Linked DNA regions of Anolis sagrei. The main gene of each other region encodes a partner of the protein of the gene in region 3 in a complex. Links are inferred from orthologs where the notes say so. Each region holds a gene or a part of one and is shown on either strand. Other genes may lie near its edges. The genes, in order: SART1, SNRNP40 and PRPF6.

Evidence for each region.
Region 1: PRPF6 (region 3) and SART1 share a complex: the UniProt entries of both Homo sapiens proteins name them as parts of the U4/U6-U5 tri-snRNP complex. The link is inferred for Anolis sagrei from reciprocal best matches to the Homo sapiens genes PRPF6 and SART1.
Region 2: PRPF6 (region 3) and SNRNP40 share a complex: the UniProt entries of both Homo sapiens proteins name them as parts of the U4/U6-U5 tri-snRNP complex. The link is inferred for Anolis sagrei from reciprocal best matches to the Homo sapiens genes PRPF6 and SNRNP40.

What each region holds. Positions count from the first base shown.
Region 1 is NC_090032.1:21,968,624-21,972,370, reverse strand, and holds the start of SART1 (U4/U6.U5 tri-snRNP-associated protein 1), read right to left. Parts: upstream 2,885-3,747; 5' UTR 2,831-2,884; coding exon 2,470-2,830; intron 1-2,469. UniProt on the Homo sapiens protein: Plays a role in mRNA splicing as a component of the U4/U6-U5 tri-snRNP, one of the building blocks of the spliceosome. May also bind to DNA.
Region 2 is NC_090034.1:63,888,853-63,892,599, reverse strand, and holds the start of SNRNP40 (U5 small nuclear ribonucleoprotein 40 kDa protein), read right to left. Parts: upstream 2,259-3,747; 5' UTR 2,181-2,258; coding exon 2,052-2,180; intron 1-2,051. UniProt on the Homo sapiens protein: Required for pre-mRNA splicing as component of the activated spliceosome. Component of the U5 small nuclear ribonucleoprotein (snRNP) complex and the U4/U6-U5 tri-snRNP complex, building blocks of the spliceosome.
Region 3 is NC_090024.1:237,895,825-237,899,571, reverse strand, and holds the start of PRPF6 (pre-mRNA-processing factor 6), read left to right. Parts: upstream 1-1,287; 5' UTR 1,288-1,303; coding exon 1,304-1,515; intron 1,516-3,747. UniProt on the Homo sapiens protein: Involved in pre-mRNA splicing as component of the U4/U6-U5 tri-snRNP complex, one of the building blocks of the spliceosome.

The DNA.
Region 1 (3,747 bases), on a different chromosome or scaffold from region 3:
AGATCCATCATTGTTTGAGTCCACAGTGCTCTCTAGATGTAGGTGAACTACAATTCCCAAACTCAAGGTCAATTCCAACCAAACCCTTCCAGTATTTTCTGTTTGTCATGGAAGTCCTGTGTGCCAAGTTTGGCTCAATTCCATCGTCTGTGGGGTTCAGAATGCTCTTTGATTGTAGGTGAACTATAAATCTCAGCAACTACAACTCCCAAATGAAAGTTTCAAAAAAAATTGTGTGAAGGACATACATTGGGTTGTTAGGTGTCTTGTGTCCAAATTTGGTGTCAATTTGTCCAGTGGTTTTTGAGTTACGTTAATGCCACAAATAAATATGACATTTTTATTTATATAGATAGATTTTCCAGATCACCAGACTGGGCCACAGCAACGCCCTGGCAGGGGATAGCTAGTAAATACATAAATAAATAAATTGAGAAGGAGGAGAAGGACAAAAGAAGAATGGGGAGAAAGAAGGAAGGGCAGAAGAAGGAAAAAAAAGAGCAGGGAGGAGGAAAGAAGGAGGCAAGAAGGGAGACGCCTGGAGCTTCCCCTGCTCTCTCACCGGCTCCCTGGGCGGCCTGCTCATGGGCCTTCCCGCGCTTCTCCCGCTTGGGCCTCCTGCGGAGAAGGAAGGAGGGAAGGAGAGAAAGAAGGAAAGAAAGAAGGGTAGAGAAGGAAGGAAAAAAGGAGAGGAGGGAAAGGAGGAGGGGTGGAGATAAAGAAGGAAAGAAAGAAGGGTACAGAAGGAAGGAAGGAGAGAAAGAAGGGTAGAGAAGGAAGGAAGGAAAGAAGGATAGAAAGAGAGGGAAGGAGGGAGAGAAGAAGGGAAAGGAGGGAAGGAGAAAAGGAAGGAAAGAAAGAAGGGTAGAGAAGGAAGGAAAAAAGGAGAGGAGGAGGGAAAGAAGGAAGGAAAAAGAAGGAAGGAGGGAGAGAAGAAGGGAAAGAAGAAGGGAAGGAGAGAATGAAGGAAAGAAAGAGAATGAAGGAAGGAGGTAGAGAAGAACGGAAAGGAGGGAAGGAGATAAAGAAGGAAAGAAAGACGTGTAGAGAAGGAAGGAAGGAGAGAAGAAGGGAAAGAAAGAGGGAAAGGAGGAGGGAAGGAGAGAATTAAGGAAAGAAAGAAGGGTAGAGAAGGAAGGAAGGAGAGAAGGAGGGAGAGAAAGAGGGAAGGAGTGAAAGAAGGAAAGAAAGAGAAGAAAGGAGGGAGAGAAGAAGGGAAGGAGAGAAAGAAGGAAAGAAAGAGAAGAAAGGAGGGAGAGAAGAAGGGAAGGAGAGAAAGAAGGAAAGAAAGAAGGGTAGAGAAGGAAGGAAGGAGAGAAAGAGGGAAAGGAGGAGGGAAGGAGAGAAGGAAGGAAAGAAGGGTAGGGAAGGAAGGAGAGACAGAAAGAGGGAAAGAAAGAGGGAAGGAGGGAAGGAAGGAAAGAAAGAGAAGGAAGGAGGGAAGGAGAGAAAGAAGGAAAGAAAGAAGGGTAGAGAAGGAAGGAATGAGAGAATAAACTAAGTGAAAGAGGGAAGGAAGGAGAGAAGGAATGAAAGAAAGAGGGAAGGAAGGAAGGAAAGAGACAAGGAGGGATGGAACCAAAGAGCAAAGGAAGCGAGAAAAGAAACAGGTAGAGAAGGAAGAAAGAAGAAGGGAAAGAAAAAGAGGGAGGGAAGGAAGGAGAGAAAGAAAGAAGGAGAGAAAGGCAAAGAAGGAAGAAAGTATTTAAAAAAGTGAAAGAAGGAAAGGGGGGGAAGGAAGGAGAGAAAGAGGGAGGGAAGGAAGGAAAGAGACAAGGAAGGATGGAACCAAAGAGCAAAGGAAGTGAGAAGGAGAGAAGGAGAAAATGAAGGAAAGAAAGAAGTGTAGAAAAGGAAGAAAGAAGAAGGGAAAGAAAAAGAGGGAGGGAAGGAGAGAAGGAACAAAGAGAAAAAGAGGGGGGAAGGAAAGAAAAGTAGAGAAGGAAGGAGAGAAGGAATTAAAAAAGTGAAAGAAGGAAAGAGAGAGGGAAGGAAGGAAGGAGAGAAGGAATGAAAGAGAGAAAGAGGGAGGGAAGGAAGGAAAGAGACAAGGAAGGATGGAACCAAAGAGCAAAGGAAGTGAGAAGGAGAGAAGGAGAAAATGAAGGAAAGAAAGAAGTGTAGAAAAGGAAGAAAGAAGAAGGGAAAGAAAAAGAGGGGGGAAGGAAAGAAAAGTAGAGAAGGAAGGAAGGAGAGAAGGAATTAAAAAGTGAAAGAAGGAAAGAGAGAGGGAAGGAAGGAGAGAAGGAATGAAAGAGAGAAAGAGGGAGGGAAGGAAGGAAAGAGACAAGGAAGGATGGAACCAAAGAGCAAAGGAAGTGAGGAAAGAAACAGGTAGGGAAGGAAGAAAGAAGAAGGGAAAGAAAAAGAGGGAGGGAAGGAAGGAAAGAGGGAAGGAAGGTTGACCATAACAATGCGTGGCGGGGACAGCTAGTTATTATTGTTATGATGATGATGATGATTCCTCACTTGCTCCCTGTGGGGCCTGCTCGTGGGCCTCTCCGCGCTTCTCCCTCTTGGGCCTCCGCTCGCCCTCCTGCCTCCGCTGCGAGGACGACGAGGACGGGCCTTCTTCTCCTCCTCCTCCGCCTCCTCCCCGCTGTCGGCTCCGCTCGGCCCGGCTCCCGCTGCGCTTGCTCCCGGCGCCGCTGCTCCCTCCTCCTCCTCCGCTTCCGCCTCCCCCTCCGCTGCGGTGCTTGTGCTTCTTGTGCTCCCGGTGGTGCCGGGACGACGACGAGGAGGAAGACGAGGCCGGCGGAGCCCCGGAGGAAGGAGGCGGATTCTCCTCAGGGGCCTCGCCCCGCTCCCGGTGCCGCTTCGAGGAGCCCATCGCGGCGGACAATGGCCGCGCTTCCGCTCCACAGAGACGCTTCCTTGACTCTGCACTGAGGGGAGGCTCACACTTCCGGCCAGGCACCAAAATAATCCCGATAAGACTCACTTCCGGGTGAAAAAAAGGTTCTGCTCTGTTGCGAAAATCCCCGGATAGGCTCACACTTCCGGTCCGTCGCCAAAATAATCCCGATGAGACCCACTTCCGGGGGAAAGAAAGGTTCCGGTCTGTTGCGAAAGTCCCCTGATAGGCTCTCACTTCTGGTCCGTCACCGAAATAATCCCGATGAGACCCACTTCCGGGGGAAAGAAAGGTTCCGGTATGTTGCGAAAATCCCCGGATAGGCTCTCACTTCTGGTCCGTCACCGAAATAATCCCGATGAGACCCACTTCCGGGGGAAAGAAAGGTTCCGGTATGTTGCGAAAATCCCCGGATAGGCTCACACTTCTGGTCCGTCACCGAAATAATCCCGATGAGACCCACTTCCGGGGGAAAGAAAGGTTCCGGTATGTTGCGAAAATCCCCGGATAGGCTCTCACTTCTGGTCCGTCACCGAAATAATCCCGATGAGACCCACTTCCGGGGGAAAGAAAGGTTCCGGTATGTTGCGAAAATCCCCGGATAGGCTCTCACTTCTGGTCCGTCACCGAAATAATCCCGATGAGACCCACTTCCGGGGAAAGAAAGGTTCCGGTCTGTTGCGAAAGTCCCCTGATAGGCTCACACTTCCGGTCCGTCACCAAAATAATCCTGATGAGACTCACTTCCGGGGAAAAGAAAGGTTCCGGCCTGTTGCGAAAATCCCTAGAAAGGTCTCCCTGCAAGGAAGAAGACTCCAGCAAGACATGGAGCGAGAGTTGCCAGATGTTCAAGCTGGGTTTAGAAAAGGCAAAGGAACCAGAGACCAGATTGC
Region 2 (3,747 bases), on a different chromosome or scaffold from region 3:
TCAACAGGAGACCCAAGATAAGCACTGGCTGCCCTCTTTCTCCACTCTTTGGAAGGACTTTATAGGTCCCGTTGCCTTAATAAAGCTCAGAGCATTCTTGGGGATCCATCTTACCCAGCATATTATTCTACAGAATTATTACCATCTAGCAGACGGTACAGGGTGACAAAGACAAGTTCAAACAGACTGAGAGGTTTTATCCTATAGCTCTGGCTATGTTGAACCCCACAGCTTCGCATTGATATGGCATTGAGGGCTGCGCCATAGCTATTAGAATGTGGAGAGATGGGTGTTTTGTGTTGTGTGTCGGAGAAGACATTTAATTTCATTGTGCAGTAGTACAATAAATAATAATAATAATAATAATAATAATAATAATAAACTTTATTAATATAATATAATAAAACCTCGCCACCATCTCCCTGATGGGGACTCGGGACGGCTTACATGAGGCCAAGCCCAAACAACAAATTACAGCAAAATAAAACAAAAACAATAAACAACATCATAATTACATAAAACATATGAATGCATAACGATATAAAATTACAGTAAACACAATCACAGTGACAATGGGCAGGCTACATGTAATGATTAAAAGAAAAAGAAAAGAAAAACTAATTAAAAACTGATTAAAATAAAGCTATTCTATTCTATTTGATGTATTAGTGTATATACCCAGTGTTGCTCAAGCGTCATTGGGACCACTGTCTGTTTACTTTATCCCTTCTCTGGTTCTGAGAAGGCCTTTCTTACGTTGTGAATCCAGCAAAGACTGAGATCCTATGGCTGGGTAAACCAGGCAGTGGGGATATCCAGCTGCCTACCCTGGATGGCGAGGCGCTATGCCCATCATCATTGGTAAAGAGTCTGGGAGTCCTTTTGGACCCTCTGCTGACGATGGAGGCCCAGGTCTCAGCTGTTAGCAGAACTGCCTTTTTTCATCTGCGGCAGGCTAGACGGCTGGCCCCCTACCTGTCCAGGGGCAACCTAGCTACGGTGATCCAGGCCACGGTCATCTCAAGACTGGACTACTGTAATGCCCTCTACATTGGCCTTCCTCTGTCGGTGATCCGGAAGCTCAAGTTGGTACAAAATGCAGCTGCTCGGCTTCTTGCGGGAATTCCGATGAGATGTCACATAACCCCAATCTTACTGCAGCTGCATTGGTTACCCATTGAGCACCGGATCACTTTCAAAGTGATGGTACTCACCTTTAAGGCCTTGCATGGTCTGGGGCCGATGTACCTGAGGGACCGCCTCACCCCCTTCCAACCCCAGAGATCCCTCCGTTCTGAGGACCAAGATCTATTGGAAATTCCCAGTGTCAAGACCTTGCGTCTAACAGCAACCAGGCGCAGAGCCTTCACAGCAGTGGCACCATCACTCTGGAACACTCTGCCACCTGAAGTCCGTGCCTTGCGGGACTTCCCAGCTTTCCGCAGGGCATGTAAGACATACCTGTTTCGATAGGCTTTTAATGTTTGATATTGCTGTTTTTAATTTGTTTTAAATTGCTTTTAAATTGTGTTAGATTTTAGCCATTCTTGTAAGCCGCTCCGAGCCCCAGGGGAGTGGCGGCATATAAGTTTAAATAATAAATAAATAATCCGTCAATCCAAAAAAGAAAAGACTAAATCAGTAGAGTAAGGTTACCTCAATCATGTCATGCATAGACAGTCCAGTAGCTGGGAAAGAAATAAAAGTTAGAGCCATGGAGGCATTACTTTTTGACCCACCCGGGTATATGCCATCTATGGGCCAACATGGGCCTTCCCTCCAGGTGTTTTGGACTCCAACTCCCACCATTCCTAGCAGTTTCAGGTCCTTTCCTTTTCCCCCTCGGCCGCTTAAGCGGAAAAGGAAAGGGAAAAGGAAGGGGCCTACGGCTGTGAGGAACGGTGGGAGTTGCAGTCCAAAACACTGAATGGAGGCAGAGACGGCCCAAGTTGGCCCAGGCCTGGTAAAAGACACTGCCTGCCGACTTCCTCTGCCGTAGAGTCTAACCCGGGAGGCGAGGCCCGAGGCCTGCGGCCTGCCAGTGCACTCACCGCGGGCAGCAGGGCGCCCGGGGGCCCCGAAGGAGGGCCAGCCCCGGCGGCGTCTTGGCGGGGCTTCTTCGCCGCCGCCACCACCAAGGCCAAGTCCGTAGGCGCCTTCCGTTTCTGCGGGTCCAGCATAGCCGCGGAGAGACAGAACAGGCCTCACACCCTACCCGAAAGAGGACTGCGCTCCCTCCTTTCTCATTGGTCGCCTCATACCCAATCGGCAGCTTCTCGGAATATAGAGCACCCCGATTGGACGGGGCTGAGCCCACCCCTTATGTACGCCGTATGCCGATTGGTTGGGAGGAAGAAAGCGCCTCTGTTGGGGTTTCCGGAAAGGCGGACGTGCTGAGTGGCGGAGGACAGCGTCCACAGGCGTCAAACGGCTCTGAAGTAAGTAATCCCCTGGCAGGGAGGGGGCCTTCTCGTTGTTTTTGACTGTCGTCAAGTCATCTTTGCCTTACGAAGAAGTTGGGTTGGAAGAGAACCCATGGCGAATCCAGTCCAACCCCCTCATGCCTTCATGCAAGAAAATCACCACCAAAGCTCCCCCGACAGATGGCCACCCAGCCTCAGTATTAATTAATTAATCTATATAAATAAAAACCACTGGACGAATTGACACCAAATTTGGACACAAGACACCTAACAACCCAATGTATGTCCTTCACTCAAAAAAATTGATTTTGTCATTTGGGAGTTGTAGTTGCTGGGATTTATAGCTCACCTACAATCAAAGAGCATTGTGAACCCCACCAACGAGGGAATTGAACCAAACTTGGCACACAGTTCTCCCATGACCAACAGAAAATACTAGAAGAGTTTCGTGGGCAGTGTCCTTTGGTTTTGGAGTTGTAGTTCATCTACATCCAGAGATCACTGTGGACTCAAACAATGATGGGTCTGGACCAAACTCTACATGAATACTCAATATGCCCAAGTGTGAACACTGGTAGAGTTTGGGGAAAATAGAATCTTGACATTTGGGAGTTGTAGTTGCTGGGACTTATAGTTCACCTACAATCAATGGGCATTCTGAATCCCATTTTCTGTACCCCCCCCCCCAATCCCATTTCCCAAATTTTGGCAAACCTGATTTTAAAAAGCCCTTGACTGGGGAAATACAGGGAAACCTAAAACATAGTCCATTTGTGTTGTTGAAGGCTTTCGTGGCCTGAATCACTGGGTTGCTTGAGTTTTTAGGGCTGTATGGTCATGTTCCAGTAGCATTATTTCCTGACGTTTCACCTGCATCTGTAGACCTATGAAGACGCCAGCCACAGATGCAGGCGAAACGTCAGGAAGGAATGCAACTGGAACATCTACTTCATCACACTAGTGAATCCACTTTAAATCTGGTTTCTGCCTCCTGCAGAATTATGAGGCTTGTAATTTAGTGAAGCTGTTCAAGGCTCTTCTTTAAGCTACAAACCCCAGAATTCTTCAAGAGGTAGCAACCAGATTTAAAGTGGATTCATTCTCTAGTGTGATGAGCTCGATGGTCATATAGCCCAAAAAACTCATAGGAACCAAGTCAATTTGCCCCCTTGATCTCTAGGGCAGTGTTTATCAAACTGTGCTCCTCCAGGTGTTTCAGACTCCCAGAAATTGCAGCCAGCTGTTATAAATTGTGGGAGCTGAAGTCCAAAACATCTGGAGGAGCAGTTTGAGAAACTCTGCTCTAGGGAACATAGCAAGGCCT
Region 3 (3,747 bases):
ATTTCCAACAGACCTCACTACCTCTGAGGATGCTTGCCATAGATGCAGGCAAAACGTCAGGAGAGAATGCTTCTAGACCATGGCCATATAGCCCGAAAAACCTTACAACAGCCCACTCATAGGGACTGTTGGAATCAAAAATGTAAAATGTAGGCACCAGATGGCGCTGTGAATGCTCACAATATGCTCAAACAGAGAGACATATTGTAACACTACCAATTTGGATAAAACTTCAGAATTATATATAAAACAACTGTACAGATTTGGTTCATTTAAACCATGTGGATATTCTGTGCGTATACCAGTACTCAATCTGGTGGAAACCAGAGCAGAGACTCCTAGAAATCCCAGATCTTTTGCTAAAGATTCCTCTGTATGTAGGGTTGAAGATATTCTTCATTTATTTCTATTCTTCAAAGCTGAGCTGGTGCAAAAGGCATTTTTAAATGTATAAACATAAATGAATTCCATGTTTAGACTCGGATTCCATTCCCATGATATTTTGTTATGTGTATGCAAGGATTCCAAAATCGGAACAAAACTCCAAATATGGCACATTCCATCTGAACATGAGGAAGAACTTCCTGAGAGCTGTTCAGAAGTGGAACTCTCTGCCCTGGAGTGTGGTGGAGGCTCCTTCTTTGGAAGCTTTTAAACAGAGGGTGGATGGCCATCTGTCAGGGGTGATTTGAATGCAATATTCCTGCTTCTTGGCAGGGGGTTGGACTGGATGGCCCATGAGGTCTCTTCCAACTCTTTGATTCTATGATTTCTGGACATGGGATGTTCAATGGTATCGTCATCACCATCATTTCTTACTTGCCTTTTCCAATGGATTGAGGTGGGCAACAATAACAGAATTAGGAAACCAAAGGACTAGGCCATTATTAGGCCTCTATACTTAGGTATGGGCCAACTTGGACCCTTCAGGTGTTTTGGACTCCAACTCCTACCATTCCTAATAGAATTGTGGGAGTTGGAGTCCAAAACACCTGAAGGGCCCAAGTTGGTCCATGCCTGGTCTAAATGCATGCCAAAAAGGAGAGAAAAAGTAGAATTGGGGAAAAACCCTGGTCCCAAATTGAGAAACTCCCAAACTCTGGATCTCCAAGTGTTTTCCTATTTTTGGACTTCATATCCCAGAATTCCTGGCCGTTGATCAACGCAGCTGAGGCTTCTGGGAAGTGAAGTCCATAATGGAATAGAGTCAAGACGGGCCTCTGTCTCCTCCAGACGCGCATGCGTAGTCGGTTTCCGTCCTTACTGCGCATGCGTGCCGCCTTCCTCCTCAGTCGTCGCCAAGATGGCCACCGCGGCTGCTTCTTCGTCGGCCTCTGGCGCCTCTTCCTCCTCCTCCTCCGGCCCGGGAGGCTCGAGCTCATCCGGGCCCGGGGGAAGCGGAGGGTCTGCATCCTCAGGCCTCACGGCCTCGCTGACAGGGACCATGAACAGGAAGAAGAAGCCTTTCCTGGGCATGCCTGCGCCGCTGGGCTACGTGCCGGGCCTAGGCCGCGGGTGAGCCGGGGGCTCGAGTTGGGAGTTGGGCGGCCAGCGAGGCCTCGGTTTCCCTTCCATTCTGTCTCTCTCTTTGGACTTGTATCTACACTGTGGAATGAATGCACTTTTGACACTACTTTGACTTGATTGCTAGGACTCATGTTGTTTCACAAGGCCTTTAGCCTTCTCTGCCAAAAAGTACCGAACTACAACTCCCAGGATTCTATAGCAGTTAACGTGGTGTCGAACTGCATTAATTCTACAGTGTAGTTGCAACCCAAGCAATTCCTGCTTCAGTAGAAAATTGCGCTTTTCTTTCCTTCTTCCTAAAATACTAATACTAATAAACTTTATTTATTGTTGTTGTTCATTCGTTCAGTCGTCTCCGACTCTTCGTGACCTCATGGACCAGCCCACGCCAGAGCTCCCTGTCGGCCGTCACCACCCCCAGCTCCTTCAAAGTCAGTCCAGTCACTTCAAGGATGCCATCCATCCATCTTGCCCTTGGTCGGCCCCTCTTCCTTTTTCCTTCCACTTTCCCCAGCATCATTCCCTTCTCCAGGCTTTGCTGTCTCCTCATGATGTGGCCAAAGTACTTCAGCTTTGTCTCTAGTATCCTTCCCTCCAGTGAGCAGTCGGGCTTTATTTTGGCCTTGCCCTGTGCAATTTCTGTGTTTACTGTCCGATTTTATACTGCTGTCTCGTTTATTATTTAGGTTTTGCATTTTATGTTTTTTTTAGTTCTGTTATGCCTTGTGTTATATTGGGTTATGCTTTTGTGTAATATTGTGTTTACTGTATTGATGGGTGTGGCCTCATGTAAGCTGCCCCGAGTCCCCCTGGGGGAGATGGAGCAGGGTATATTATTATTATTATTATTATTATTCCGGACCCAGCTTTCATACTATTACCGCCTTCTCTGTGGTTGCCTCCCGCCTCTGGAACTTCCTCCCTAAAAATATCAAAACAGCCCCCTACTTAAAATAATGTAAAAATACAGTAAATTAATAAATAGGAAAGGGTATAAATAATGTTTATTGTTATTAGTGGGATGGGCATACCAAGCCACCTTGTCTCTCTCCTGAGGAATTTGTACAAGGACCAAGTAGCAACAGTCAGAACTGACCACGGAACAACAGACTGGTTCAAGATTGGGAAAGGCGTACGGCAAGGCTGCATACTCTCACCCAACCTTTTAACTTGTATGCAGAACACATCATGTGAGGATGTGCAGGGCTTGATGAATGCAAGGCTGGGGTGAAAATTGCTGGAAGAAACATTAACAACCTCAGATATGCAGATGACACCACTCTGATGGCCGAAAGCGAGGAGGAGCTGAGGAGCCTTCTAATCAAGGTGAAAGAAGAAAGCGCAAAAGCTGGGTTGCAGCTAAACGTCAAAAAAACCAAGATCATGGCAACAAGAATGATTGACAACTGGAAAATAGAGGGAGAAAATGTGGAGGCCGTGACAGACTTTGTATTTCTAGGTGCAAAGATGACTGCAGATGCAGACTGTGGCCAGGAAATCAGAAGACGCTTCCTTCTTGGGAGGAGAGCAATGTCCAATCTCGATAAAATAGTAAAGAGTAGAGACATCACACTGGCAATAAAGATCCGCCTAGTCAAAGCCATGGTATTCCCTGTAGTCACCTATGAATGTGAGAGCTGGACCTTAGGGAAGGCTGAGTGAAGGAAGAGAGATGCTTTTGAGCTGTGGTGTTGGAGGAAAGTGCTGAGAGTGCCTTGGACTGCGAGAAGGATAAAAATTTTAAATTTTAAAACACTGGGAGATTGGGCAATGGAAATTGTTGGGGAGGGAGATCCAGATTGAGGAAGGAATTAATTGCACGAACCATAAAGTCCTTCTGAAGTCATTTGTACGAAATTTGGTCAGGGAGTATCTTACATTCAATCATTGAAGGCACGTTGGAATAACCAGGTTTTCAGATTCCTCCTGAAGATTGCCAGTGTGGGGGCTTGCCGAATGTCTCTGGGGAGTGAATTCCAGAGCCGGGGGGCTATCACAGAGAAGGCCCTTTCTCTCGTCTCCACAAGTCGCACTTGCGATGCAGGCGGGAGCGAGAGAAGAGCCTCTCTGGACGATCGAGCTTTACGCTCTTTCCACTTCGCTCCTTCAGGAGTGCTGTTTGCGCAACGCAGAACAGAACACAGATATTGTAGAAGGAATGTAACAATTCTTTAATGGCAAAACCTTAACCCAGAGGCTGGATAGTCATCTGTTAAGGGG